Linked DNA regions of Tamandua tetradactyla. The protein of the gene in region 1 interacts with the protein of each later gene in a pairwise test. Links are inferred from orthologs where the notes say so. Each region holds a gene or a part of one and is shown in the gene's direction. Other genes may lie near its edges.

Region 1 (7,891 bases):
AGGTACCAGCATATCATGTGCCCCAACCTAAGTTGTCCACATTTTCCTCACCTCCAAGAGCCATCTTTAAGAAAGCTTCAAGGCCTGCTAAGGGTGAAAGCACCTGGCCAGGGCTCCTGAGGTCAGGAGCAGCTGCATTCTCAGACAGGTGCGATGGGAAGGAGGCTTGGAGCCTACAATTCCTCAGCGCAAATTCATCTCTACCCAGTTCCTGAGGTTCTGTTGTACAGCCAACCGGAGTTTGAAATTTATGGGACAGATTCTGCTGGAGGAACCGAGTTTGGGACCCTCGAGGAAGTCACTGGTGAGCGCCATTTGCTCCAGAAGCTGCCGAGGATGCAATAAAGACAACAGATGGAGCTTTGCTTTCTTTTCAAGGTGGTGCAGGGGCAGCCCAGCCTGGGGCTGTCTGGGCCGAGCAAGGGTCAGGGGCCAACCAGAAGTGGGCATTTTAAAACCAAACATGAGGGCGTTGTGGTGGTGGCTCAGTGGTAGAATTCTCCCCTGCCATGCCAGAGACCCCCACTGAAGGCTGTGGCATTCTGTAGCCCACCTACACTCAACAAATATTTGTTGTTGGCCTTCTCTTGACCTGTACTATGATAGAAAGTAGGATGAACCTCTCTATTTAAGGCATCTGCACATATTTTTACATTCTTATTCAATTCCACATTTCTGTTGTATTTTTTACAGCAGACTTCTATTTTAAGGGCCTCGATCCTATTTTTACCGAGGGAGCCGCCCCCATTGGAGCTTAACATGGTTATTTTTCTTCATAGCACTTTCCATGACCTGGCAAAATATATTTACTTATTGCCTGTCTTTCCCTAAGACTCTAAGCTTAGTGGGGTGCTTTTTATGCACCTACAATGGTGCCTATAGCTGTTGAATGAAAGATTTTCCTCTTTCTGTAAAGCTCTTCACACTCACGCCAAGGTTCAAGGTATACAGATTTTTTAAATTAGAAAGAAACCTATTAATACTATCTCTTATGACAAAAACAAAAGATGCTGCACTGGGGACATGGGTTCCGATACTGTAGACTCGGGTTTAGCTTTGGGCTGGAGAAAAGTTGTAATTGCCTGTGACTCTAATGCCTGCCCCTCTGTTACCTGGCATCACCCAAGTTTAGCCTTTCCTACCAGTGAAACCTCATCTGTCTATGGTGATTGTTTTCAAGATTTGGGGCATTCCCTGGAAAGTTCCATCAGTCCTGTATTTGGACTTATAGGCACTAAACCTTCGAGTCATTCTTTTACTTTCATTGAGGCTTATTAAGCGAGTGTTGGCTACATGCCTGTTTCTTGGGGGTGGATATCAGAACAATCAGCACTGTCCCTGCACTCAGTGAGGTTCCTTGGGGGAGAATGGACACCTCCAGGACCAAAAGGCTGTATTCACGAGCCTCCTGTAAACTGTGCAAGGCTCTACTTGAGCTCAGAGGGCTTTGGATATCAGGGAAGTCTTCCTGGAGGAGGTGGGATATGAGTGGGATTTCAACAGGCAGAGGGGGTGGGAAGGGCTAGCCAGGGTGGCAATCAATAAAAGACAGGCCAAGAGAGGAAGGGAACCTCTCTTGGGGAAGGAGGCTGAGGGTCTGGTTGGGCCACAGAGGTGAACTATAGGATGTAAACTGAAGAAGTGGGTTAGTGTCGCTCTGGGTGAGCCTTAAATGACCGACTGTGTGGTTTGTACTTTTTCACAATGGCATCAGGATACCAAAGCAAGTTTTGGAGCCAGGGATGCTTGTTGCAAAGTGGGATTTTAGGAAGATTATTCTGAGGGTTGTTGGTGGACTGCTTGGGTAGAACCCAGAAATTCAAAGAAGAAATTTGAGGGAGAGAAGTTTTGGGAGGGAGAGAAAGAAATAGGAGACTTTGGACTGGGAAGACATGGGGAGGGGGAAAACACTGACAAATGAATGGATTTGTTTGACAGAGCTTATGAAGGGCATTTGGTGACTGTATGAATGAAGTGGGAGCTGGGGAAGGCGATAATTTGGGGCAATTTGACAAGGGCTTTGTGCCTCAGTGACTAGAAGGATGATGCAGTGGCAGAAAATGAAAATCATTTTGGAAATTTTGGATAGGGCAAAAGGAGGATCTGTTTGGGTTTTAGACACAGAGAACTAGAGATGGTGATGGTATAATAGGTGGACATATCCAGCAGGCCAGTAGCAACCAATCAGCCATCTGGTCCCTTGTCCATTCTGATCCCTGCCCTGAGCTGAGGGCTGGAGGCCCTTCAAGCTTAGCAGAAACTACTGATCAAAGGAATATGGAGAGATGAGGCTGAATCAAGCCCTTGATGACTTTGAGGTGTCTGGTTCATCTGACTCAACAGAGAGTTAAATATGTCCCATATCTTCCACGTTTTCCTAACAGGCCTATGTGCATCCCATCACCATTTGGGAATGTGATGTGGCCAAAAGTCCTCATTTGGAGTTTGAGGTTGTATCCAGGCCCAGTTGAGCCCTGCCCCACTCGGGGGTAGTACCTGGCCTCTGTTTCCTATGTCTCAGAATTTGGGGCGGGGAAGATATTGGGGTGCTCATGAATATTCTGAGAGGCTGTACCATTGACTCCCTTGGTTCCAGCCAAGAAAGACCTTTTTCTGGGACCCATGCCTTTGCAACCCCCTTCATAATGGTTTTGAAGGCAGAAAGGTGAGGCAGCCCACTTCCACATTGGCTGATTTTTAACTTCTATTCCCTTTTGAGGCTGTCTTCAGTGTTCATTTCCACTTTATTTTCCCTGGATGGGCATACTGGAGGCAGGGGTAGGGCAAAGGGAGCTCGCTGTTACTGGTCCTGCCCTGCCCCCTGGGTCCTCCTCTCAGGGAGAAAGTCAACCAGCAGGGACATGGAGATCAGTGCAGTGCCTTCGGCATCTCTGAGAACCCTGCCAAGCAAAGCCCTTTAATTAAGATGGGGCCAACACAGCAGTCCTGGCAAACATCAGTTCTGCATCCAGCTAGGTGGGAGGGGCGGTGGCTGGAAGATGATGCCATTGTTTTCTGAGGGGCCTGGCCTGCCATTAGGTGACTCAGTAAGTTTCCCAGCACCTTGGCCAGGAGGCAGGGACAAGACTGCAGCTTTATCTATTTTTTTCCTTTTAGGGTGGGACTGCTCTGCTTTGGCACTTGGTTCACAGGAAAGTGTTCAGTAATCATCCCCATGCCTGTGATCCCTGCAGAGACCGATAGCCTGCATGAGCTTCTATGGTGTCCCAGGCCCCAGACCTTGGGGGTAATACCTGCTTAGGTTTAACCCCCAGCTCCTCTTTACCTCTCTGGACCTCGTTTTTTCCAATATGTAAAATGGATGCAATAAGTCCAGCCTCACAGGCTTGTTGTGAGTGCAAATGAGACAATGTGTGTAAAGTGCTTAGCTCTGTGCTCTAGCCCAATAAATGGCAGTTACTATTATTATTATTATTCTCCTTTCTTGAGCTATTAGATAGTGGTGGTTAATGGTGAGGTTTCTGGACTGAGATGATCCAGACTCAGTGGGTTTGAATCTTGAGTTGTCCTCTTTCTAGTTGAGTGACCTTGGGCAACTTCACCTCGCCGAGTTTCAGTTTCCTCATCTGTAAAATGGGGATAATAACAGTCCCCATTTCACAGGGTCATTGTGAGGATTAAATAATGCAGGTCTAGTGTTTAGCACAATTGCCAGCACATAAAGATTGCACCAAAAAAGTGAACTACCATTACTATGATTATCATTTTTTCAACCCTATATCTGTCAGAGTCTAGATTAAGGTGTCATCTTTCTCACAAATTCATTAACCACTTCTCTGATCTTCATTGATTTGGGCACTTCTTGCAATCCATTTTGCATTGTTTCTGTTCATGTCCATCTCCTTCAAAAGGGCCTCCAGGATCACCTTGCCATTTCCTTGAGGCTTGTCTTACAAATAATTTTTTGGGTCCAAAAAACCTCAAGAATCCAATCCCCAAAGCACTGAAATAAGAATTACACTGTATATTACACAGCAAATGTTACTAAAATTGTTTTTAAAACAGTTCTCTTCCTCCAAATTTTCACTCCCTAAACAGCTGACCATCTCCGTTTTTCCCCTGTCTGAGCTACCTCTCCCTGCAGAATATATATATATATTCTGGGTTCTTTTGGGATCTGAGAGAGATGAATACACATTCATACACACATGACTCAGCACATATTTAAGTAAATATGTGCCCAGATATATACAATATAAAAATAAACATATATATGAATCCTCATGGGACCCCCAACAAATCCATTCATTCATTCAACAAATATTTGAGTTCTCATTGTGTCTGGGACAAAGCTATCAGTTGGGATAAAGAAGGCATAAGAGGTTTCATTTTTCACGGAACTTAAATTCTATTTGAGGAAGAAAAGGACAAATACACAATTTTGCCAGTGGAAGTGCTGGAAAGACAACACAGAGCTTAATGAGCGCGATTACGGGGAATTAGAAAACTATTCTGTTCTATTGGGTGATCGGGGATGGTCTGGGAGGTGAAATATGCGTCGACCTTCATTTTATAAGTGGGGACACTGGAACTTGGGCACTTAAAGGCCTTGGAGGCTAAAAACAGGAAGGCGGCCTCCCAACTGCTCTACAGTGGTGCCACTTCGCCGAACCGCAGATTGTTTCGGTGAACCTTGTCAAGTCCAAGCCGGGTTCCCTGCGGGTCCGAAGCGCTTGCGCAGAAGGACACCACCTGTCTGACGTCAACGCGCCGGGTCCAGACCCGCCCCCCTGTGACGCCCTCCTTGCCACCGCCCAGCCCCGTACGCTCTTGCGCTTGCGCGCATGCTCCGAGCCCCGCCTCCGAGCGTCACAGAATGGCCTCGGACACCCAGGCAATCTCTGACGTGTCGGGGAGGAGCCGGGCGCCGAGGTGCGCGGAGTGGAGCTCAGGGCTGTGGAGAGGAGCGGAGCTGAGCGGCTGGGCGGGCCTGGCCAGGCCAGCGGAGCAGAGACGCGGGTCGAGCGGCGGCGAACATGCGCTTTTGACACATTGAGGTGAGCCTGCTGTGCTCGGGGCGCTCCCGCGGGGGCCGGGCCAGGCTGACGGCGCCGAGGCCTGTCCCTGGGGATCCCGCGGCACCGGGAGCTGCGCCTGAGGCCCCGCCGGGCCGGGCCGGGGCCGGGGTTCGGGACGGCCAGTCCGGGGGGTGGGCAACTGTTTCAACCGCTCTAACTGTCCCCTCCTCGCTCTGGACCGAGGTGCGGCCCGCTAGGGACGCCTGAAAGGGAGCGAGCACAGCGGCCTCTGGAGGAGGTGCCGCGGTCCCAGGGTGGGGTGAGGAACGGAGACCGGACGTGGCCCCGTGGGCCGGGGCGCTGGTGGCGCAAGGAGTAGCCCTGTTAGAGGTGGCAGCGGCGCGCCCAACCCTCCACCCCCCTTAAGAAAAAAAAAGAAAGAAAGAAAAACCTCATCTGGGAGGTTTGGAGCCGGGTTGGGTTTGGAGTCCTCAGCGCAGCTTTCCCGCGGGGGGCGGGGACGGAAGCTGCTTCGGGGCTCGGATGGCATTGCCATGACTCCCCCCCGGATCTGCTGAACATCTCTTTCGGAGATCAGGAAAGTGTTATCATATGGGTTCGAGTTGCTTGTGCTCGTTCCTTTCAGGTTGGTAAGCAACGAGATAACCCTTTAAGTTTTGCCAAGGAAGTGAAGGTTCATTTTTCACGACTGATTGTTACGTTCCATTTCCGTGGCTCGTGTACACCCCTTAGAACCCTCTTGCCAACATCCTTTGATCCTCATCATCCTTTGGTTGTGACTGATTCTGTTAGCGCCTTAACGGATGGGGAAATGGAGCCTGCTGGGGGAGAGATGTTAAGTGATTTATACTTGGGTACAACCAGCTGGTGAGTGGCTTAGCTTGGCTCAGAACTTAGGTCTCCAAGCTTGGAGTTCTGATTTCTTTTCAACTGACTTTGATACCCTTCTCGGCTAGGAAGCGAGGCAGAAAATTTGACTTGTCAAAAGATGGAATACCAGAAGCTAGTAGATAACTTACTGAAATATTTTTGAGCGCACTGAAATGGCTAGTATAAAAACCGCCACTCAGTTATGAGAAAAATCCTACTCTGAGGCTTATTCGTAGGTTGTTGGTTAGTTATTTTGTCTGATTAATTGTGTTGTTTTAAATCGATTTATGAAGTAGGGTAGTATTAGCTGAGTCTTGAAATGAATTAGTTGGTGGGGACAAAATGCAGCTTTAAGTTATGAGTTGAAGAGAAGTAAAGGGGAACTGAGTGAGGTATCTCTTCTGAATTATTATAAAATTATTATTTAAGCAAAAAGACACTTTTGGCTGGCTTTGGTTATAGGTTGGTCAGGTCCGGATTCTATATAGAATTTGCTCAGTCTTTGAAGCTGTAGTTCTGTTTTGACTTTAAATAATTGAAGTTGGATAAGGAATGCTTAAAATAGCTAGATACCTTGGTAGAAATTTAGTTCGTACTTTGGTGACATCTGCAAAATTTATTCTCATTTTAAACCATGCTGAGATAAATTTGATTACTAAAGCTTAAAATTACTTCTGACATGAATTTCTAGCACATCAAACAGTAATAAAAGAAGTTTGATAGGACCGAAAGGGAGGCCATATTTATAATCAACTTGAAAAGTTAAAAATTCTCCAAGAATTCTGGTAAAAACTCACGTATTACCTACAGTGAACTCCAGAAGTACTCTTTCAGCCTCAATAATTCATTCTACAACTATTAGCAAGAAGATAATATGCAAAATAGATTTTCTTACCATTGTGCAGAGTAGTTTCCTTGTAAATATAGCATTGTAGACAGAGTGTTTTATACTCGAATGGGTTGATTTGAGTCACTGAATAGCTGAAGGTCATTCACAGGATGGTAAAGCCTGATGTAAAATTTGTGATACTTTTGCCATCCGTTGAGACATGGTACTAGTGGAAGATTGGGGGGAAGGGTAAGTATATAATTATCTGCCTTCATTTCAGTGTCAGAACATTGTGGATGTACCATTAAAGCATTTCTTTAGCAGTATATTTTTCTGTATTGGCTAACTTTCTATAGCTTTACTATCTCTAGTTACATAGATTCAAATAACATGGTGAACACATCCTCCCACTGTAACTTGAAGCACTTTGAACATTCTGTTTTTAAAGCCCCTGAAACATTCCTTTGAATATCTGCCGTCATAGCAAATTTTTGTCATTTTATGAAGAGTCTAATTTTTAGAAAGGGTAAGTCTGATGAATAAAATTAGAGTGATAAAGCTATATAATACCAGTCAGGAAACGATACAAATGAAATCTGACCGCAAAGTAAGAACTTTTTGTTTAGTTCTTAACATGGCTCTTAAAAGCTATTTCAAAAGGGAAATTTTTAAAATGTTTTCGCTAATGGTAGTATCACTGGAATATGCATATAGTTTCCTGAATTTTAAGGAATTATTTCTATGTTAGAATTTTGAAGCATATTTACTTTGTGCTTACACTTCATAGATTAACTTCTGAATCATCAGTCTACTACTTAACGTACATTTGTGCTGTGTTTACTATGTGCCAGGCTCTATTCTAAGTACTTTGCAAATATTAACTCAGTTTTTAAATTAATTTTAATTATTCTCATTTTACAAGTGAGGAAATGGGGCACTGAGTGGTTGAGTAACTTTCCCAAGTTTGTTGAACTAGTAAGTGAAATCTGAATTAAAACTCAAATTAGTTTTAGAGTTTAGTCGTGTAACCACTATGCTGTCCTGTACCTGTGGTTCCCGGTCAAATGTTTTTACTGGAAAAGAAGGAAGTAATTTAAGTAAAATTTTCAGATGTAGTTTATAATACTGTTTGAGTGGCCAGTAAGCAAGTTTACAAGATTGACTAGAAAAATTGTAGTCAGCTTTCAATTTA
Region 2 (7,162 bases), on another chromosome or scaffold:
TGCCCAGACGTTCTGGTGTCCCTGCTAACAAGCCTCTACATTCTGTAGCAATGGGAATTTCCAGTTCACTGGCAACAACTTCCTGGAGGCAAAGTCTGACAGGCAACCAGCTCTCTTCTGTCACCTTGGCCATGAGGACCTGTTGCAGGCCCTGAGTCAGGATCCATGGCAAGGGACCCTTCTTCCCTGGAGTCACTCCCTCCTGGGGAGGGAAGGGAAGAAGGGGCATTTTTAAGGACTCGTTCCCACCCCACTGTCCACCCCTGGCCTGGAGTTCCCAGCTCTGCGTCCTCTGGTGCTGTGGTGATGGGCCTTAGGTCTGTGTGCCAGCACGGCACCCCGGGCACCGGAAGTCTGCCTCCCTGGCAGCCTGGATGCTGCAGCCCACACAGGCCACATGGAACCACACATCACAACCATCACACTGAACCCAGGCCACTGTCTCTTCTTGGGGCAGGCTGCAGCGGGGGGCTGCACAGGGCTCCCCGCCCCCAACTGCAGGGGGAGCCATGGGGACAGTCACTGGGTGCTTCCGAGGACGCCCACGACGATTTCTGAAGGAAGTTGAAGGGGAAGACACAAAAACCAGGGTCACTGGAAACCTGGGAGCCTAGGATTTGCCCCTGGTGAACCCAGGGTGACCCGGAAACTTGGAAAGCCTGTAGGGTGGACCCAGATAAGCTCTGTAATGTAAACTTGGAAACTGTCCCCTGAACATGTAGGGTGGGGCTAGAAATCAGTCCCTGAAAACCTTACAGAGTGAGCCCAGAAATCCCCCATCCTCAGGCACTCAAAAATAGGGTTAAAGCTGTATGAAAGTAAAAGGTGGGACCCTAATGCCTGCCCACTTGCCCAATCTAGTTTTATAGCCATTCCCCCATCCCACCTACCTCAATTGCTCCTATGGATTTTTTTTCCCCCCCGTTAATAGAGTTGACCCAGGTTTTGCTGTTCTATTCCACCAGTCTACCTCTCCCACGCCTCAGCCTGGGACTCAAAAAGGCAGGAGAGACAGGACTCTTCACTCACCCATTGGGTGTCAGTGGTGCCTTCTCTCCGCGTAGTTTCTTCCTGGGCTCTATGTAGACTGGTGGGGGGCTCTCAGGGGCCCCCCTTTCATCATCCAATTCTGCCAGCACTCGGTGGGCTGATTTCCTCCGGTTTCTGGGGGCTGGGGGTGGGGCAGAAGGGGAGCCCCCCACTTCCCCGCAGAGAGTGGGAGGGGGCAAGCTCTGTGGCTCCCTCCCACCCCCACTCCGGGAGAAGGTGAGGGGCTGGTGCTGGAGCTTGCTGAGGCTGCCGATGGAGTTGAGGATCAGCGTGGCCTTTGGGGCAGGGGAGAGGGTACTGATGGGCCGCTGCGGAGCCCCCTGGGAGGGCAGCATGGGCCGGAAACCACCCCCAGTCCCCACTTCTCCCCTAGATCGTGGGATGGTGATGGCAGCAAAGTCCTGAGGTTTCACTCGGACTTGTTGGAACATGAAGTAGAACTCGGAGGGACTGTTTCCTGGGGGTCCTTCAGGGCCAAAGGTCAGGAGGTCACCATCACTCAACTCCAGCCTGTGACCCTTTGGGAGTCGGACATTGTTGACCAAGGTTCCTGTTGGTGGGGACCAGGCAGATGAAGAGAATGGCAAAACAAAACCCGGAAAAAAAAATCCAGAATCAGGAGTGGGAAAACATCTGTTAGATTTTTTGGGGTCTAGTAAGAACATGGAACCCTGTCATTCTTTCCTCCCTCACATTCTAAACCCCTCAGCGAATGACACCAGATAATAAGCTCCTTGTAAGCTGGGAACAAATTCATTTTTCTTGGGGCACATGGAGGGAATGGACTCTGCTGAGTCCTAATCTCAGACAGGGGCTCACTCTCACCCAACTCAACTAAAGGACAGCACAGGTCAGCAGCAGATGGTGTTCAAGCCCCAGCTCTACCACTTGTCAGCGTCGACAAGTTTCTTAACCTCTTTGTGCCTCATTTTTCTCGTCTGTAAAATAGGAATGGTCATCAGTGCCCACCTACATTCAATGCATGTAAACAGTGGGTACGAAAAATATTGGCTACTGTAATTATGTAATCCCCACAACAGCCCCAACATCTAAGAGGTGACACGACAGGCCAGAAACCAGTGACAAGCCCTTCTGAGACTGAGACTGTAACTGAGTTAGGGAAAAATACACAGGCCCAAAGCATTAAAATAGAATTCAATGAAAAGCAGGAAGGAACGAGGTGCCTCAGCAAAGCTGGAAATGGGATCAAGACTGAGTTTGGCTCTCAATGGCCCCAGAACATCCCCACTGTGACACTTCTCTACTGATGTCCTAGGCCCTGGATCTACTTCCCAGCCCCCTGTAGGGGCTAAACAGGACCCTCTGGAGGGGACTCTTGACACTGCACACTTCTGATGGGAATATGTAGGTCTGGACCCTAAATGCCCAATGGGAGGGTGGCAAGGGGATCCTTAATCCTCTTAGCTTGGACCTGGGGGGGGGGGGGGCTCAGGAGCAAGGACGTCCTGCTCACCATGGCTGCTGTGGTCCTCCAGGCTGACCCTCCAGTCATCGCCCCGGCGCTCAGCATGCAGCTCTGCGTGGACCCCAGAGATGAGGCCGGGTTCCTCCTGGGGCCGCAGGGCCACATCACACAGGTCTGCCCGGCAGCCCAAGCGATAGGTGCAGCCAGCCCCCGTGGGTGGGTGGAAGGTGTAGAGATCACCACCTCGGCCGCCCCCTATGCGCAGCAGCTGGAAGCAGGGCAGCATGGGCGGTGCCCCTCCACACCACAGCTTCCACTTCAGGAATTCATCACCCTTCCCACTCCTGGGCCAGGCACGGTGGTTCAAGTTCACTTCTCAATCTGATGCGAACTTAAATTGTACTTTGTGCAGTTTCAACTTCAAGCACACTCCCTGAGTAGTGCAAAATCAGTGTAAGCAGCCGACGTATGCAATGCAAAATTTGCTGTCTAGCAACTGTGCAACTGAAAAATTCGGGTGGGGTTCCTGGTACAACGCAAAACCAGGAACACGCCTTATGGCACCGCAGATGAGCCGATTCTCAGGCCGCAAAATATTCGGGGAGCCTCTGATCTGTGCAAGACAATGATACAATAGACAACTTCTGAGGAAATGCAAACTGGGGGTCCTGCTTCTGAACAATACCAGCGTATCACAGTGTAACTTGGAGAAAGAAGCGTCTTCCTGTCAAACCTGTTTATCCAAAAGGAGTACCCCTCCCGCTCGCCTGCGCCTCCCTTTTCTGGCCAATTCCTCACTTGTAACTAGTTAATTTGGAACCCCGCGGTAAGTGAATCTACTGTCACCTTGAAAAGGTAGTGCAAACCGGTTCCTAAATTAACTAACAAAACGGATCTAAAAGCTCACCTTTACGGCTTCTCCGCGGGATAAAAACTGCAGGAGCTCCCAGAGATCATACAATTCAAACCCGACCTTTTCTCTCCTGGCCCGCTCAGTATAATCTCAGAGCGGTTTGTCCTCCATGAGCTACCAGCCGGTGCAGCGGTCTCTGGCGCTCCGGCAGCTGTTTGACAGCGAGGAGGCACTGGCCGGTGGGGCGGGGCCTCCGAGCGCGGGCAGCGCGCGACCCCGCCCTCGGAGTTCCCGGGTGAACGCCGCGCCGAGGGGCCACGCCCCTCTGGCCGCTCATGATTGGCCAGCCCATTCGGCGTTGCTCCACTCCATTGGGCGGCACACAGGGAGGCCCGAGCTCCCGCTTTCCGCGTTTTCTGATTAGTTCACTAAGTTTCCCGGGTTCCCGGAGTTGGGAGGAGCCGTCAGGGCGCGGAGGTGCTAGAACACCTTTATTGGCCCCAGTTTTAGACGCTACTACGCTTGCGTGCTCCTTTTCTCCGCCCCCTTCCGGGGTGAACTAGTCTTCTGAGCCTCCCGCCAACCCGCCCGCTCTGCGCAGGCGCAGTAAGAGGAGGCGGCCTTGGCCCGGGAACCTAGAGAGGTGGCGGTGGCCTGAGGGGTGGGGTGGGGTGGGGTGGGGAAGTGGCGCGTGCGCAGGGTAAGGAGCGTTTGGGCGTAGTCGGTTGGGGGTGGGAAGGGTCGGTTGTGGGCGGGAAGGGGCTGGCTGGGGTGTGGGGGTGGGTACAAGGGGTCCATCGGGAAGAAGGTTCAGGGGCCTGGTAAAGGAACAGATAGGGTGGTCAGAACAGCCTTAGATCTCGGAATCCAGCCGGCTGTAGGCGCGGGGATAACTGGGGTATCGGAGAAGAGCGGGGGTGAGAATCGAGAGTGTAGGGAGACGAGAGCAGGCATCTTTGAGCCGGTAGATGAGGGTGAGAGTGACGGACAAGGATAATTTCTTCAGGAAAAAAACAGATTAGGACTAGGGAGGGAGTGGGGTATGAATCTCAGGCTCTAGAAAAAAATAGATCAATTCGGGTGGGATGGTGGAGGTGAGATCTTGAAGAGCCCACTCTTACCCTGAGACTCCGAAGAGGGGAGAGTGGGCAATAGGAATGGAAACTGAGGGGATAATAGAGAGAAACTGAAAGGAGAATTGCAGAAAGGGATTCAGTGAAATGGCAGACAGCTGGCCTTTCTGTCAAGGGGTCTAGGGCTGTGTGGATTCCCAGGGATCCTGGGGAGGCATCTAGCCCTACATGTGGTGGCACTCGTCTGCAGCCAGGCCTTGGGCCAGTGCTTTCATAGGGAAGGACCCAGGAGTCATGGCTTGGTGGTGTCTGGATGGGCTTCCTCAAGGCCTGGCTGAGCCATGGAGAGAACTCTGGAGGTTGGGCTCACAGCGCCTGCACTCCGTGCGCCCTCTCTCACCTCAGACCTGCAGGACCAGCAGGGACTCTAGAAACTTAAGGAGGAGGGTAAAGACTGCCCAAAATACTAGGAATATGAGTAGAACCTAAGAGCTTTCCTCAGCTTGTGTCAGTAAATCCCCCCCCCCCCCACCTCATGTTATTGCCAGGGTTCTGTCAGGAATCAGGGTGGGACAAAGAGGTGATCTTGGGGGTTTCTCCTTTTGGAAACTAGGAGAAGAGAAGCTGAATGTCGGGTGGACCAGTTATTATTTAGGAAGGATAACTTTATCATAGGGGCTTTCTCTTTGGAAGGGGTGTGAAAACTGAATTGGAATGTCCTTGTTTTTCCTGTTGTTCAGGGGATCATGGATGGCTGGAGACAGAATCTAGAGCCTTCAGAAAGTGCAGAGATGTTTCGAACTTCAGGTCAGTGGGACCAGACTAGGGGACTGGTGATGACCTCTCCTTGGGAAACTGACCACCTGTGCCCTTGTGATTCCTCAGGTTCCACTAGGCTAATTCCTCCATCCCACTTCCAAGCTCGGCCCCTTCATTCTGTGCCAAGAATGGCTTCTACCTGGGTCTCGGACATTCCCCTGGTGCAATCCCTGGCCCAACAAGAGGTCTCAGAGAGGCGGCTAGACAACCAGAGACTGCAGGCGGACATGTGGGAACGATCTGCTTCTGGCGATGGGCAGGAGCCAGCACGGAGAGACAGGTAGGCATCTGGCATCACCATTTCCTTAGCTTGCTCACCGAAGACTCTGTTTTACCAGAATAGATTCCTTACCCTGTGTCAGCAGTTGGTTCCATAATTTTTTTCTTCCTTTTTCTATCACTTGAGTTTTTTTTTTCTTTTAAAAATGTATACAATAGGGTGCACAGGTGGTTAGGTGGTAGAATGCTTGCCTTCCATGAGGGAGAGCCGAGTTTGATTCCTGGACCATGCACCCCCCCCCCCCAAATATATATATATATACAACATAACATTTCCCATTTTAATCACTTTCACATACACAATTCAGTGGTATAAAGTTTTGCTAATGGATGGTGGTGATGGTAAGATACCATCGTGAATGTAATCAATATAATTTATTCACTTTTACATAACCAGTTCTTCGGTGCCTACAAACTATAAATAGTAAGGAAGTTGCTGGAGACTAGGGATGAGATAACAAAGATGAATGGGCGAGATCCTGATATTAAGGAGTTTAAAATCTTAGGTCAGTTCACCCCAAAATCATGAGCAACAAAACAAACAAATGGGTAAATTGGGCTTCATCAAAATTAAAAATTGTTGTGCATCATAGAACATTATCAAGAAAGTGAAGACAACCTACTGATTGGGAGAAAATATTGGGAAGTCATGTATCTGATAATGGTTTAAGATCCAGAATATAAAAAGAAATCCTGCAACTCAACAACAAAAAGACAACCCAAATGAAAAATGGACTTTAATAGACATTTCTCTTAAAAGGCACATGAAAAGATGCTCATCATTAGCCATTAAGGAAATTAAAATCAAAACCACAATGAGATACCACTTCACACCCATTAGAATAGCTTATTAAAAATAAAAAATAGCAAGTGTTGTCAATGATGTGGAGAAACAGGAACCTTTGTACTTTGTTGATGGAAATGTAAAATGGTTCAGCTACTGTAGAAAACAGTTTGGTGGTGCATCAAAAAGTTAACTAAAAATTATCATAAGGCTTGGCAGTCCCACTGCTTGGTATGTACTCAAAAGGAAAAAACATGGACTCAGGTAGGTATTTGTACACCAGTGGTCATAGCAGCAGCATCCAGATAGCCAAATACGGTAGGCAGTAGCAACCCTAATGTTCAGCTGATGAACATTTCTTAAGAAGAGATGTTAAGAAATGTTAAGACTCTATAAAGGTTTCGTGCACTGAGTTTGCTTTCCTGGAACCTATGATTCCCAGAGGGTTCCTAGGTCTGAGAAATCTTGAAACCCAGAGTGACCAACCACTCCACAATTATCAATTAATTATATCCCCCTGTCCTTTAGTGTCTGCACCACTTCTCAACATGAAAAAAGTCAGAATGGGCTTTGCCCAGGGATCCTTATGGATTGGGAGAGGGATCATGGAAGAAAGAGGAGGTATAACAGAGTAAATAGGATTTAACAGAGAAGTATGACTGCTGAATCACTATATTAATATTCCATCTAGCCTCCAGTGTTTGGGAGCAGCTAGAAGGAAAAATCTGAGGTGATGGAGTAGCAACCCATGACAAAGTCTGGGATCTATTCTGTAACTACTGGCTGAAGTGTACTTTGAAAAATATTGCTTTTTTCTTGCTTTGCTTTTTATGTAATATTTTACAATGAAAACTGTTAAAAAAAAATAAAAAGAAATG
Region 3 (7,306 bases), on another chromosome or scaffold:
AGGAAGTCTCTTTGTTGCTCAAATGTAGCCTCTGTATCTCAAAGCCCAACTCTGCAAGGAAAATCGTTGCTGTTCCCTCTACATAGTTCAAGCCACTCGGGTGAAAATCTCCTGACAATGTGGGGCATGACTCCCAGGAATGAGTCTGGCCCTGGCAGCATGGAATCAACAATGCCTTCCTAACCAAAAGGGGGGAAATAAGTGTAACAGAATAAGGCATCAGTGGTCAAGAGAGATCAAAAGTCTATTCTGGAGGTTGCTCTTATGTAAGCTTCAGTTAGATACTGCTAATTGTCATGGTTTGCTAAACACCAATCACCATCACTCCTGTTAACTCTTAACAACACCTAGGGCTAAGACTCTATAAAGGTTTCATTCACTAAGTTTGCCTTCCTGGAACATAAAATTCCCAGAGAGTTTCTAGGTCAGATAAATCCTAAAACTCGGATGGATCAGCCTCTCCAGGATATCATTTAATCACATCCACCTATTCTTTAGTGTAGACACCCTTCTCAACAAGAAAAAGTCTGAGCAGACATTCCCCAAAGATCTCTATAGATTGGGAGAAGGATTAAAGGTTAAGAAGGAGGTATAACAGAGAAAATGGGATTTAACAAACAAGTATGCTGCTGAATGATTATATTATTCTTTCTAGCTTCCAGTGTTTTGGAGCAGCAAGAAGGAAAAATCTGAGATGATGGAACAGTAGCCCATGACAAATTCTTGGATCTGTTCCATAACTATTTGTTGAAGTGTGCTTCGAAAAATTATTGCTTTTTTATTTCTTTGATTTGAAGATATATATATATTATAATTATATAATAAAAAAGTTTTAAAAATTGGGGGACTCAGACTTCTCAGTTTTAAAACAATGCAAAGTTAAAGTAAACATGGCAGTGTGGTACAGGCATAAGGACAGACATATAGACTAATGGAATACCACTGAAAGTTTAGAAATAAGCCCTCACATCTGATTTTGGACAGGGGTGCCAAGTGCACCCAATGGGGAAAGAATAGTCTGCAAAAAATGGTGCTGGAAGAACTGGATATCCACATGCAAAACAATGAAATTGGACTCTACATCACACTGTATACAAAAATTAACTCAAAATGATCGAAGACCTAATCATAAGAACTAAAACTATAAAATTCCTAGAAGAAAACATAGGGGAACACCTTCACAATGTTGTATTAGACAATGGTTTCTTAGACTTTACACCAAAAGTATAAGTAACAAAATTGAAGAATAGATAAATTGGACTTCATCAAAATTAAAAATTTTGCGCATCAAATGACATTATCAAGAAAGTGAAAAGACAACCTACAGAATTGGAGAAAATACTCATAAATCAAACCTCCTATAAAGGCTTAATATCCAGAATGTATAAAGAACTCCTACTGATCAACAACAAAACAATTTTAAAAATAGGCAAAGGACCTGAATAGACATTTCTCCAAAACAATATGCAAATAGCTGACAACTACATGAAAAGATGCTCAACATCATTAGCCATTAAGGAAATGCAAATCTAAACCACAATTTGGGGTGGGCCATGGTGCTCAGCAGGCAGAGTTCTCGCCTGCCATGCCAGGGAGACCCGGGTTTGTTTCCCAGTGCCTGATCATGCAAAAAAAGAAAAAAAAGGAAAAAGGAAAAAAAACACAGAAATTAAAAAAACACAATTAGATACCACTTCACATCCATGAGGATGGCTATTATTTTTTAAGAATAAGGATAATAATAAGTGTTGGTGAGGATATATAGAAATTGGAACTTTTGGGCATTGCTGGTAGTAATAAAAATGGTGAGCTGCTTCAGACAACAGTTTGATGGTTCCTCAATGTTTGAGAAACGCAACTCAAGGAGAAACCAGACTTTGCATATATTTACCAATAAATAAAATCACCGGGCCTCTGTTTCCTCGATTATAGATAAGCAAACTGTATTAGATTCCTTGGGCTGCTATAACAATAGCACACCAGGATTAAAGCAACAGGAATTTATTCTCTCATTTCTCAAGGTAAGAAATCAGTGTTGGCACGGTGGCACTCCCTCAGAAGACTGTACAGGAGAATCCATTCTTTCCCTCTTCCAGCCTTTGGTGGTTCTAGGTTGTTCTAATTTGTAGAACATCTACACACATCGCTGCTGCAATGTGATATACCAGAAATGGAATGGCTTTTAAAAATGGGAATTTATTAAGTTGCAAGTTTACAGTTCTAAAGCCATGAAAATGTCCAAATTAAGGCACCAACAAGAGGTTACCTTCACTCAAGAAAGGCTGATGAAGTTCAGGGGGTTCTCTCTCAGCAAGGAAGGCACATGGTGACTCTGCTAGCTTTCTCTCCTGGCTTCTTATTTCAAGAAGCTCCCCCATGGGTGTTTTCCTTCTTCATCTCCAAAGGTCTCTGGCAGTGTGGACTCTGTCGATTCTGGTGGCTCTGTTGGTCCTGATGACTCTAAAGCTTTTTCCAAAAGGGTTCCCTCTTAAAGGGCTCCAGTAAGCAAACCCACCTTGAATGGGTAGAGACACCTCTCCATGGAAACTATCTAATTTAGTGAATTTACTAAAAAGCCTGGACTTTGGGGTAGGGGGCATAATGAAGGTCTTACTAAATTCACTGAAAGTATATCCCCCACAGGATCTTTAAAAAGAATCAGATTTGGTTTCTAGACCTGCAAGGCAGAGGACCAACCCTGGTCCAGGTAAACTTAGCAAATGCAGTCACTATGTAAGAACCTGCCCAAGTGGCAGTCAATCATCCCTTCCTTAGACACTGTATTAGTCAAGGGTCTCTAGGGAAACAGAACTAACAGGAGATAAATACAAATATTATGAGACTTTATAAAAGTGTCTCATGCAAGGGTGAGGATGCATGAGTCTAAATCCCATAGGGCAGGCTGCACACTGGCACTCCGATAAGGATCTTCAATGAATTCCCCAGGACAGACTGGTTGGCTGAATTAGAGATTAAAGTTGTCTCTTCTAACTGCTAAAGTTATCACCTCTGCCTTAAAAGACTTCAATTGATTGGATTAAATATCTCTCATTCTGGAAGGCACTCCCGTTAGTTGATCATAGGTGTAATTAGTAATAGATGCAATCAATTGACTGATGATATAAGTTCACAAAATGTTTTCACAGTAACCGTCAGGCCAGTTCTTGGACCATCACCTGGCCACCATCACCTGGCCAAGTTGACACATGAACTTAACCATCACAGACACTACCCCATTTCTATATGCACCTTTTTGAACTGCAACAACTTGTACACCTTGAAACTCTCTGCCTTTCAGAACCCTTCCTCCTCTTCCTAGACAGGATTTAACTTTGAGGCCTCCCAGAAATCCTGTCTATTAGCAAAGTCCAGCCAACTTCAAAAAGTGATAGCAGCAGTTTGTGTGCCTGTCACTTGTGGTCACTTGATAAATTAAGGTGCTCATTCAGCATAAATTATAGGTCATCCTTTCTACTTTGCCTTCAATAACACTAAATTCAAGACCAGATGCTCCTGGCCAAGAGACAGCATATTTTACCAACTGTGTATAAAATTCTGAGGAACAGAGAAAGAGCCTGAATGCAAAACTAATAAAGTGAAGGCAAAGCTGGAATGAATATGCAGAGTGATTGTCAAAACATATCACAGAATCCAAGCCTAGACTATTCTAAGACAGTTTTGGAGCAGTGGTATAATTTTTCAAAAATCAAATTTATGATAATGTTATAAGAGTTATAAAGTTGGTACTATGTAGTGAAGTCATTAAGTTTCAGTAAAACCCAATGGAGAACAGAGCTTCATGAAGGAGATTCAGCTAAGATGAGTAATTGAATTCTCACTGTTTTCTGAACGGCATCCACTTTCTACTTTCTTATTGCTTATTCTACTTATCTCTCCCTGATAGATTTACAAATGTTCTGTAAGGTTTATTTCCTTCCACACTCCTTTCAATCATTGGGTTTCAGCCCTTTATGGACTGAGTAAGCTTACAAGCTTACTCTTAGAGGAAAAAGTATTTCCATATTCAGAGCATTCTCAGTATCTCTGTAACAGTGAATAAGGTCACGTACTATGTGAACGTAGTCCCACTAGTTGTTCTTAGGAGTTCTTTCCATTGTGTATTCTCTTGTTTACAATGCACGATTTCTCCTCATAATAAAGGCATTGACTCAACTTCCACTTCCAGGCAAGATGGACTGGATTTACTGAAACAACTAAAAATCAAGACAGGAATGTATGAAACAAAAGTTTCACCAGTGGTTTTCAAAGACTCTGGACACCAAGCAATGAAGGATAGTGATGCTCAAGAAACTGTACACAAACAAGGTGGGTACTATAATTGTCCCAGTTTATAGTCTAGAAGGTGTTGCAGGCAACAGCACAAGATGTGGGAACTCAGGTGGAGTCCAGAGGATTCCCTAAGTTGAGAAGAGAGAGAAGTGAGCGTTCACTTGGAAGAATACAGTACAGAAAGCTGCAAAATGAGGGGACCTGTAGAGAATCATGCCGAAGTAATCAATACAGTACTATTCTGCACGTGAGTGTGAGGAAACTTCCCAAGTATGGAGAAAAGAACCACTCCACCAAACTAGAGGGAACTGCATCGAGAGGGCAAACAGGGCCAAGAGTTTCTGTTCCCACCAGCCAGAATGAAATAACACCTTAACTAATGGGATTAAAACTCTGAATTAAGAGGCAAGAACGTTCTTGCCGCAGTAGTAGAAATAATCAGAACTTGATTCAATGCCATTGTGATCTTACCTAACAAATCTTAAAAGCCAGACCTAAGAGGATCAAACTTTCCAAGTAATTTAACTGTATCCTGCCACCACGACCCCCCACTCCCTCCTGCACCCCCATGAAGAGCCCAAGAATAATTATAGGCATACAAAAATACCCTGCCAACAATCAGGTAAAATTCAAAATGTCTGGCCTCCTGTAAAAAAATTACCAGGCATGGGCGGGCCATGGTGGTTCAGCAGGCAGAGTTCTCACCTGCCATGCCGGAGACCTGGGTTCGATTCCCGGTGCCTGCCCATGCAAGAAAAAAAGAATTGCCAGGCATAAGAACAACAGGAAAACACAGTCCATAATGAGGAAATTAATAAATGAAAACTGACCAAGAACTGATATAGATATTAGAACCATTATAAGATCCTTAAAGTTAATATAACTATCTATTACATAATCAAAAACTCAGAAGAAAGATTGAACATGTTAAGCAGAGACAATAGAAGATATAAAAAAGACCCAAACTGAACTTTAGAGATGAAAATTACTATGTCTGAGATAAAAGATACCCTAGATGGAAATGTCTGTGTAAAGATCTTACCACACTCGTTATATTAGTGTTTCTCTCCAGTATGGATTTTCTGAAGGCCAATAAGGCATGGGTTCTGATTGAAAGCTTTGCCACATGCATCACACTTATAGAATTTCTGTCCCTTCAGAACTCCCTAATGTTTAACAGGACTAGAGGACAGATCAGAATGTCCCCCAAGTTCCTTATAGTCCTCATATCTGGGTTTTGTAGGCTTTTTTTTTTTTAATCCTCACCTATTATTTCCAAGAAATCACTTTCCAAACTGCTCCCTGTACAACTGAGTGTTGTCCTCCTAACGTCTCTAAAGTACCTCCACAGGCATCTCCATCCTCCAGTCCCCCAGGAACCATCCCAGAGTCCTCTCAAATAAGCACCAGGCCAAATCTCAGAGTACAGACAAAGTGCATGACAAAACTAGATGGTACTGTTAGGTCGGGGGAATGGGGAAGGTCACCATGACTCGAGCTGTGTAAAATGTGCCGCCCCTTCTAGACATCACCTAACCCCCTTGCTTAAAAACCGCCCGCACCAGGACCCAGCCCAGCGTCAAACTCACAACTCCCTACCTTGAGTTCTGTGAGCGCTGCCCGGGAGCACAGGAATAAACTCGCTCACTCTAAGGTTTCTTGGTCTGCCTCTTCTCTCTTTCACCTTCAAAACCTTTCAGGTACCAACACTACTGAAACAAACAAACAAATAAAAACCCAATAATCACTGGGGCAGTAGGTGGTCCTTACCAGCTGATAACTCTGTGGTGACATGCTTTCAGGATATTGTTTGTTTGGGGCATTGAGTCAGTGTTCTGCAGCCTAACTGGTCAGCTTGGCTTTTCTAATTTCTTTCTTCTTCCCCAGCAGAAACACTTGTTTAGGCAAGAATGCCTTCCAGTGTCCCAAAGACTTCTGTTAGTCTAACAGTACTGTCTTCATCTTTGTTTCAACTCCCATAGAGAATACCACCTGTCTACCTGGAGATGAAGGGGAGAAGAAGAGAGCTTCCGGTTGCACGTAAAATAATTTAGGTAGGGACAGCAAGGACCAAATGGATTACTATTTCAAAATCTACCCATTCATGCTTTGAGATCCACAAAGTACTATTTTTTGATGTGGCCACTGCTTCTCACTCTTTGTTGGTTTCTCCTTCTCTCCTCAACCTCTTCTTAGCACTTATGACTACCTACCTATGTTTTATATGTATTTATTTTCTGTCTCTCCCCACTGGAAATGTATGTTCCATGAGACCAAGGACTTTACCCTTTACTTAAGACCCAAGTGCTTAGTGTCTGCTGCATGGTAGGCATTCAGTTAACCAGTGATCAAATGAATGAATAGAGGCTGAGATATTTAGCCAAGAGTTTAATGAAAGCCAGGAGAAAACATACAGAAATAAAACAGAATAATGTACCTTGCTCACTCAACAAACATTTTTCTAGAATCTAGTATGACTCCAGCTTTAGGTTAGGTGCTATGTATACATGGTATCCATACAGATATGGCCTTCTTTCCCTTGTGGAGCCTAGTTCCAGCTTTAGTTCCTATATAGGGGTATCAACTCTTTAAGTTCAAACCTAAGAGACTGAGGGCCAAAAAGAGATTTAGAGTTTCACTTTCCTTTATACAAACCTAATTTTACCCACGGTGTTGTATAACTGGAATGACCACCTCCTTCAGGGGAGACGGCATCCCCCACCTGCACATGACTTTGCAGGTTCGGTTTGATTATAGTGTCATACCAGAGTTCAGTCATCCCATCATCTTGGCAAAAGAACCACTCACAGTAGGCGAATTTGCACAGAAGTGATTTAAAACCATGTTATTATGGCAATGAAAACTGCCATAAACTCAAGAACAAACCAGAGAAGTCATCCACGAGGTCATTTAGACATGAGAGATTATTCCTTATCAATCTCAATGGAAATGCAAATTAAAACAGAGAGGTCCAATTTTCCCATAAGGCCTGGGCCACGTCATTAATGTCTGTATC
Region 4 (7,739 bases), on another chromosome or scaffold:
GCTATTACCCACAGGACTAGGGGTTGAGATGTGAACATGTCTTGTGGGGGACATGATCCAATTCTCAGCATGTTCTGTGAGGTCACTCACCTGGTGTGTCCCTCCATGGAAAAGTGTCCTTATAAGGTAGCAAACTCTTCACAGCTCTTTACTTCTGGGTTTCTGTACCATCTCTCTCCCTGCATCTTGTGGGTTGAGGGACAGTGTCAGCTTCAATGCCAGTGACCCAAGCTCCTGCAGTAATCTTTGGGGTTGTCCCACATGCTGTCTCCACTTTTGTCATTCAACACTGTAAAGAAACTGTTCTCATAATACTGAAATTTGAATGTGCCACCTGTTTTTTGTGATGATTCTCTCAGGAAGTGCACAATTGACAGCCACTTTAGTTGCAAACAGAATCACTACGAAGACACAATAGCATACATTCCAAGGCATTAATTCACATTGAATCTTCATTCAAGGATAATCATTTTCCCCTCCCCTAGATAGGACTTACAGGTGGGCTTCCACCTTGTGTGGGAGGAGGGTGTGTGACTAGCTCTTCCCTTTCTTACTTCACCTCCTTCCTCTTGTTTCCATGGCCATCTAGGCTGACATTTCAGGGAATGAAGGGAACAGGATGGTTTCTACTTGAACTGGTTCAGTCATATGCTGGTTTTGCACCCTCTGGTCTGATACATGGTTAGAAGTGACTCCTGTTGGCCCCTCAGAGATTCTTTGTTGGGCCCCCCAGCATTCCTATGATCTAGGGAGGTCCACCCTTGGGCTGGCTTCTCCTCTCAGCCCTGGTTGTCCAGAGACCCTTTTCACACCAGGACACTTATTGCTGGAAAGCCTTCATCCTTCCAAGTTTTCTTCTTGGGCAGATCTTAAAACGGTTCTATGTTGCCTTACAATCAGCAAAGTTTAGATCTGGTTTACAGCCGCTCAGACTCACCTTTATTTTGCCATTTAGACAGCTCAACAGCCTGGCTTTCTTGCTGGCCATTTTGTCCCCAGATTCCTGGGAAACCACAGTTTCTATGAATGGTTCCTCAAAGCCTCCTCTCTGCCAAGTTGAGCAAGTGGCAGGTACCTTCCACCTTCTCTCTTGGGGAGGAGTGATGGAACTTACAGCTCAGCAACCTCCAAGGAAATCCTCACTAAGTAATTTTGATCTCCATTTTCTCCCATCCTTTATGTCCTCCAAGGCAGGAGGAGGTTCAAGAGCAGAAAGGAAATAGCTCTCAGATATTTACTCTGAAGTTTCCACCAGGGGAGGAGAACACTATCTCATTGGCACTTGGGCATTTCATTTTCACCTCCTTTTGGAGTCTCAGTAAAATATAAACTTTAATGCACTGTTAAATACATTTTTGTTGCTAGTAATTACGAGCAAACAACACAAAACTGCTCAAGCTGGCTTCCACAATAGAGAGATTCTGTTGGCTCACATAACTGAAAGAGTTCATAAGTTGGATGCTCAGTTTCTTCATGATTTTCTCAACTCTACCCTTCTCCTTGTTTTATAAGATGGTTGCCTAAAGCAACCTGGGTATGTGCTTTTTTGTTCACCAAGAGGACATCTCTTCCCTCAACCGTTGAACAAGGTGTTACTGAGATTTACTCTGATTGGGCAAGTGCTCACCCATGAGCCAATCCCTATAATCAGATTGGCTTCAGTCTGGGGTAGGTGCCATCCTTCTACCAATCATTACAGAAGAGAAATGGATCATCCTGATTAGGTCAAACCACTGGGGAGCCATTCTTGGCATTTGGGTGGTGGTGGTGGAGGAGGTAGCTGGGGTTGGACTTGGTCTTGCCCAAACCTCCTAGCTGGGTAACTAGAAGGAAGAGTAGAAATGGAGGTTCAGGAGGCAATAACTACCCAATCCAAGGTCTTCTTCCCTCAAGCATCCAAGTTTGCCCTCACATAAAATGTGATTTTTTTTTTGGAACCTAAGTACTTTATATTCATAATACAAGCATACTTGTGACTCTAGAGGAATTTGTTTTGTTTTAAGGCCAAATTCTCCAAAAGGCACAGGAGGCACAGTATTCTGAGCCCACGATATTTTTAGAGGCCAGTGAAAATGTTTTGATTTCTTTTAAAATCTGAAGGAAAAAAACTCAAACTCTTAGGTCAAAGAAAATATTTTCATATATAATGTGAACATATTTGTCTTTATAACAATGCAATCACAAAATGTAACTTTTAATTTTTCATTTACTTTTTTTTGGAGGGAAGGGACCCACCAAAGCAAGGTGCCTAGGGCCCCTGAAAGTTATCATGGGGCCCTGTTTTGTGTTTCTTCTTTACTAGGATATCTCACCACAGAATTGAAGTGTTGACAATAGGAATCCAAAGTCTGAGGCAAAGATAATCATCCCTTGAATTACAAAGTTACCACCCACTTACTTAAAGAGGACATTGCGGGTTACAGTGTTGTACCAGAGATACCATGTTTCAAAAAAGCAAGAAGCTCAGGCTGAGCTTCCCAAAAGAAGCAGAGGGAAGGAAGGCAATTCTATGGGTGAAAAAAGGAGTATCTATTTGGAGTATTTACTTGCAGTTGGAAATTAGTTAACACCAGTATGGTGCAGTAGAGAGTGGGTGTATGTTCATGTCTGTAATATCCTTTAATCCTCTTAAGATGCCAGGCAGTAAGGACCGATTTAACTGATGAAATATGAGATTCATTGAAGGCAAATGGCTTTTTTTTTCACAGTTATCCACACAGTTATTACCTGGTGGAGGAGTATGTCAAACTAGAACATCTGACTTTATAACTTTTGCTCTTTGCTAGGGGCCAAAGGCACTAAAATTGGAAGAAAGTTTATGTAAATGGTCTATCTGATCAAGCAGAGTGGCAGTGACTTGGGGCACTTAATCAAAACACCAAAGAGTAGTTATAAGGAGCGTAGGTCCTGGGGGGTGCCTTTTTCCTCTTCTATGCTGCCAGGTGGTCTGCAGTACAGCTTGGCTTCTTTTCTACCAGTCTTTCTCCTCTGACCTGTCATGCATTTAAGTCAGAGTCTGGCTTTCTGGGGTAACTGAAGAAATCTGTCCTTACTACCCAAGAAAGATTATTAAAAACAAAAAACTTTTCATGTAATTTAGGATCTCACAGCTTTATTGAAATTCATGAATCGGGCAGAATTCCATTCAGAAAGAAGGGAGCTCCACCAACGGGGTAGAAAGAGGGAGTTTATATAGGGCAACCTGAAGCAAGCAAGGAAGTGTTCTTATTGGCTAGCATCAAGTTTCCATGTCATGTGCGGTGGGGGTTGCATCCTACAAAACGCAGAGCATATATACATTGATTAGTATGGGAAGCTTGTCCATTCTGATAAGCAATCTCTACCAGATCGAAGAAACTGGGTTATCACCATGTGTTGCTAATCTGCAACTCTGTAGGGATGTGTTCCATTTTCTCTGAAAGCCTCTGCAGGTCAATTGTTTTTGTCTTCTGGAAAAGCTGTTCTGGGAAAGAGGATCCTTCCTGGACACTTAATCCAGGTGGCCATTTTATTTTACTTAACAGCATGCTCACCCGCTGGAAGGGGCAAACAGCTGTCTGCTTCTGACTGCTGAAACACTTCCAAGCTTTCCAGCACCACACTGCCCAAGCAGCTTCTTCTCTAACTTTTTCCTTACAGTGCTAGTTTGAATGACCTGAGGTCCTTTCCAGGGTCTTATTTCAGGAACAACAATGAACAAAAGGAATGACTTGGATTAGGTGGCTCCCCAACAACCCCTGCTTTCTCCACTTCAAACTAAGCCTCCCCACCCTCCCTGCAGTCTCATCAGACAAACTGAAAGAATGGAGGCACTCAAAAGTGGATCTGCCAAAATATTGAATTAAAAAAATAAAGTGGATCTGCCAGATTGGGAGAAGGATCAATGGAGAAGTAAGAGTGTCAATAGAGAACATAGGATTTAACAAAATGAGTATGACTGCAGAATCATTATATGGATATTTCGTTTAGTTTCCAGTGTCTTGAAACAGCTGGAAGGAAAACCCTAAAATTGTGGAAAACTAACCCATTTCAAACTCTGAAATCTGTTCTGTAACTACTTGTAACAGTGTGCTTTGAAATGTATTGCTTTTTTGTGTATATGTTATATTTCACAATAAAAAATGTTAAAAAAGAGAAATGCATACGAAAATACATGAACATAATCTTAAGAGAAAAGTTGTTGCTGTAATAAAAAAATTAAAATAAAAGTGGATCTGCTAATACTGGCAACATGGACACCGAGGGAGTTTGTTAAAATGCAAATGACAGGGCCCCTAAGAAACAGAATCTGTGAAGGAGATCTATGTTTCAATCAGTTCTCCAAGTAATTCTTCTGCACGCTCAAGTTCGTGGCGGTTGCTTTATTGCAAGGAGAGAAAAGGTCACAGAGGAAGTGGGGTTGCTGAAGGAGAGATTGGTTGCTGTTACTAACCAATCGGAAGGTCCTCGCCAAGGGTTGGTGATTTAGTTTGGGGCCGGTTATTTTCTGAAAGCAAACCATCCCCCAACCTTCCCCAAACTCAATTTCTTAAACATGAAAAATGAGCTACAGGCGCAGTGACCACTACGCATGCGCGCTAGCAGGCTCCGCCGTCAGGCCCCGCCCTCAGACGTCAGCCCATCTCGGCCAGCTTCGCCTCGCCCCGCCCCACGCACGCGCAATGACGATTTTCCCTTGGTGCTCTAAGGCGCGGGCAGTTCGTAGGTAATGGCGGGCTCTTCGTCACTCGGTTGCTGTAGAGGCTGTTCCTCCCCTAGCTGTGCGTGTGACGTTAAGGGCAAGTGGAGCGACTCCTCGCTCTTGGGTAGACGGCTTTCAGAGGACTCGAGCCGCCACCTGCTGCTGCAGAAGTGGGCGGGCATGTGGAGCTCCTTGAGCGGGAACCAGCGGGCGGCCGGCGCGGAGGAGACGCGGCCCGAGGAGATGGCGGAGGCTGACGAGGAGGAGACGGAGAGGCCGCTGGTGTTCCTGTGCTCCGGCTGTCGGCGGCCGCTGGGCGACTCGCTGAGCTGGGTGTCAAGCCAGGAGGACACCAACTGCATCCTGCTGCGCAGTGAGTCCGGGCTGGCTGGGGACTTGGGGCCGCCCTCTTGGGTGTTCCTTACCAGCGCGGCCGGGGAGGAGGAGGGGGTTTTTTGGGGGGCCGCCCTGGGACTTTAAAGGCAGAGAAATCTAAAAGAGTGAGATAATCTAGGAAAGAGGGAAGGGGAAAGTCACCCCTATACCTCGGGCTCACGAGAACTGGGTCCTTTTCTGGTGTCCTTCATCGCTGAAGAGTAGGGGTTGAATAAGCATCTTTGTGAGCGTTAACTAAGAAATCAGTTGCCAACTAGATTGTAAGCGTTTGGGGTGTAGCCATTGGATCTTACTCTCCATAGACACTAGGGGGCTGCTAATTAATTAATAGATAGTATTTGTTAGTGGTTTAAGAAATCAAGCTTTTTAGCTAGCTGCTTCCTGCGGAGGAATGTCAAGATTGATTTCTCAGATCTTACTGCTTGTATCAGCGAATATTTTTACAGTTCCAAGTGTTAACAGCCTTAGCAGACAAAATAGTGCTGTGGTAAAAGAAAGGCTTGCAGTAAAGACACCAACATCCCCATCAAAACTGAAGAAGAGGAGGGAGTGAAAGAATTAAGAGGAAGGCAGTACTCAACTCAGTTTGTCGCTTCTGCAGTGTTTTATTTATTTATTTGCTGTATGGTGGGGGTCACATTTCAGTCTTTTTCCATGTGATTATTTTATTATTGCAGCACTATCTGTTGAATTGTTTTTTTCTTTTTGGGAAGTGCATGGGCCACAGTATTTGTTTTAAAGAGTGGTTTTATGTGGTTCTTTTTTTCTGAGTTGGTATAAAAACAGCATTCTTTTGGACCTGTGGTTTTTCAAGATGAGGTCTATTCTCTGAAGTTCTTGTTTAAATTCTACAAATATTTTAGTGGTAGAAATACATCATCAATTCATTGACGTTTGTAGGGAGAATGTTTTCTGGACTGTAATTTTGGGAAGGAAATCTTTTTTCTGCCATTTTCAATACAGATGCTGATTAACACTTATTGCTGAGTCCTCTACAGTAGTTAAATATAAACCTAAGAACATATAGATTTCATGAGTGATGCATTGGGATTAACCTTTAGCACCTATTAAAATCAAACAGTGAAGAAGAGTATAAAAGTAAAAAGGATCCTTCCACCAACCCCCAATACATTGCCATGTCGCAGTCTTCAGAATGCTTTAGTTTCATTTATACTTCCATATACATTCCATGCATGTGAGTATGTTTTGACATGTCTTTTTAAAAACACTTGAAATCATTCATCCTCTTATGCATCTTCTTTTCTTTATTCCACATATATGTTCTGAATCTTTTTTCATATTGATGTATATAGATACATTTCATTTTTGAGCAGCTTCTTGCTGAGTGTTGATATAGTGTGGTGGAGCCACTGGCCTGCTCCTGTTAGAATTCTGGCCCTGCCACTTACTGTCTGTAACCCTGGGCAAGCTCCTTAATGAATGTCTGTATACCTCAGTATCCTCCTCTGTAAAATGGGGACAGTACTTGTGTGCAGTAATTGATCAACTGAAGACAATTCTAGAATAGATTCCCCCCCCCATGAAAGACGAAGACATTAATTCCCATTCCCTTTTTTCCCTTCTGTCCCAGTTTAAGTTAAATTATTTTACTATGTCAAGATCATAGCATTTACATTCTATTCTGTAGCTTTAATTCGTGGGTCCCTTAATTGTAGTGTAATATTTATGTGAATTCATTTCTTAATTCAAGTACGCCTAACAGTTCCCATTCTTGAATTACATGTTTTGATTAGTCATAAATGAGTACACTTTCTCCAAGAAAACTCCAGGTTTGAGTGCTTGAAAATATCTTTCTGTTGTCTTTATACATGGATGTCAACTTGGCTGCAAGTACAATTTTTTGGTCATGCTTTTTGCTTTTTCTAGGCATAGGGAACAACTAATGGAAAGAAAGTCCTTGCAGCTACTGTGGCTGAAGAATCGAATGAAGTTAAGATTTAAAGTTAAATCTTTAAGGGGACAAAAAATTCGTGTCCTTGTAGGCTATTCTAAGGAATAGGGCTTGATTCTAGTGGCTGGTAAGATGGGGTGAAATGATTCAGATTTTATTTTGTCTCTGAGGAAGCATTGAAGGGAGGAACAAATGTGAAATTGGTAGGCCAGTTTGGAGCTAGTACAGTAGACTGAGCAAGAGGTGTTGGTTGTGGTTTGTGGATGGGAAAGAGAATACATTGGAGAGAAGTTTGTGAGGTAGAATGGACAAGATTTAAGTAGAGCTGGTATGGGAGAGCAGGATGAGATGGAAGAATCACAGATGACTCTAGGTTTCCTGATTTGAGCAACTGGGTGGCTGGTGGTAACATTTTACTGAGTTAAGGTAGACTGTAGGAGGAGGTGAAATCATGAGTCCGTTTTGGCCATGTTAGGTCTGATAGGTTCCTGCCTCATTTTCCTCCATCCCTTAACCTTGTCTCAGTTTGTCAGCTGCTGTGACAAAAGCCACACAGTGAGTTTGGCTTAAACAGCAGGAATCTACTGTCTTGCTGTTTTAGAGGCTGGAAGGCTTGCTTCCTTCCCGGATCAGTAATGTTCTGGTAGGCAGTCCCTGGGTTTTTTGGCTTTCCTGTCAGGTAGTGGTGTCCTTTCTCTTTCTGGTTCCAGCTGACCCTGGCTCCTCCCAGTGGCCATCTCTTAATAAGTC

What was found.
Region 2: the proteins of NDEL1 (region 1) and CCHCR1 interact in binary tests that used the Homo sapiens proteins (3 or more experiments, as listed by UniProt). The link is inferred for Tamandua tetradactyla from reciprocal best matches to the Homo sapiens genes NDEL1 and CCHCR1.
Region 3: the proteins of NDEL1 (region 1) and ZNF197 interact in a two-hybrid assay, tested with the Homo sapiens proteins (2 studies listed by BioGRID and IntAct). The link is inferred for Tamandua tetradactyla from reciprocal best matches to the Homo sapiens genes NDEL1 and ZNF197.
Region 4: the proteins of NDEL1 (region 1) and MIS18A interact in binary tests that used the Homo sapiens proteins (3 or more experiments, as listed by UniProt). The link is inferred for Tamandua tetradactyla from reciprocal best matches to the Homo sapiens genes NDEL1 and MIS18A.

Annotation. Positions count from the first base shown.
Region 1 is NC_135332.1:62,284,562-62,292,452, forward strand, and holds the start of NDEL1 (nuclear distribution protein nudE-like 1), read left to right. Parts: upstream 1-4,850; 5' UTR 4,851-5,018; intron 5,019-5,191; exon of another isoform or gene 5,192-5,867; intron 5,868-7,891. UniProt on the Homo sapiens protein: Required for organization of the cellular microtubule array and microtubule anchoring at the centrosome. May regulate microtubule organization at least in part by targeting the microtubule severing protein KATNA1 to the centrosome.
Region 2 is NC_135331.1:86,079,032-86,086,193, reverse strand, and holds the start of CCHCR1 (coiled-coil alpha-helical rod protein 1), read left to right. Parts: upstream 1-4,075; 5' UTR 4,076-4,630; coding exon 4,631-4,849; intron 4,850-5,142; coding exon 5,143-5,209; intron 5,210-5,287; coding exon 5,288-5,501; intron 5,502-7,162. Other genes in the region: TCF19 (transcription factor 19), read right to left, coding at 314-554, 1,030-1,600, 2,525-2,762. UniProt on the Homo sapiens protein: May be a regulator of keratinocyte proliferation or differentiation.
Region 3 is NC_135341.1:42,317,930-42,325,235, reverse strand, and holds the start of ZNF197 (zinc finger protein 197), read left to right. Parts: upstream 1-4,193; 5' UTR 4,194-4,326; intron 4,327-6,272; 5' UTR 6,273-6,344; intron 6,345-7,268; exon of another isoform or gene 7,269-7,306. UniProt on the Homo sapiens protein: May be involved in transcriptional regulation.
Region 4 is NC_135336.1:92,330,831-92,338,569, reverse strand, and holds the start of MIS18A (protein Mis18-alpha), read left to right. Parts: upstream 1-4,633; 5' UTR 4,634-4,708; coding exon 4,709-5,054; intron 5,055-7,739. UniProt on the Homo sapiens protein: Required for recruitment of CENPA to centromeres and normal chromosome segregation during mitosis.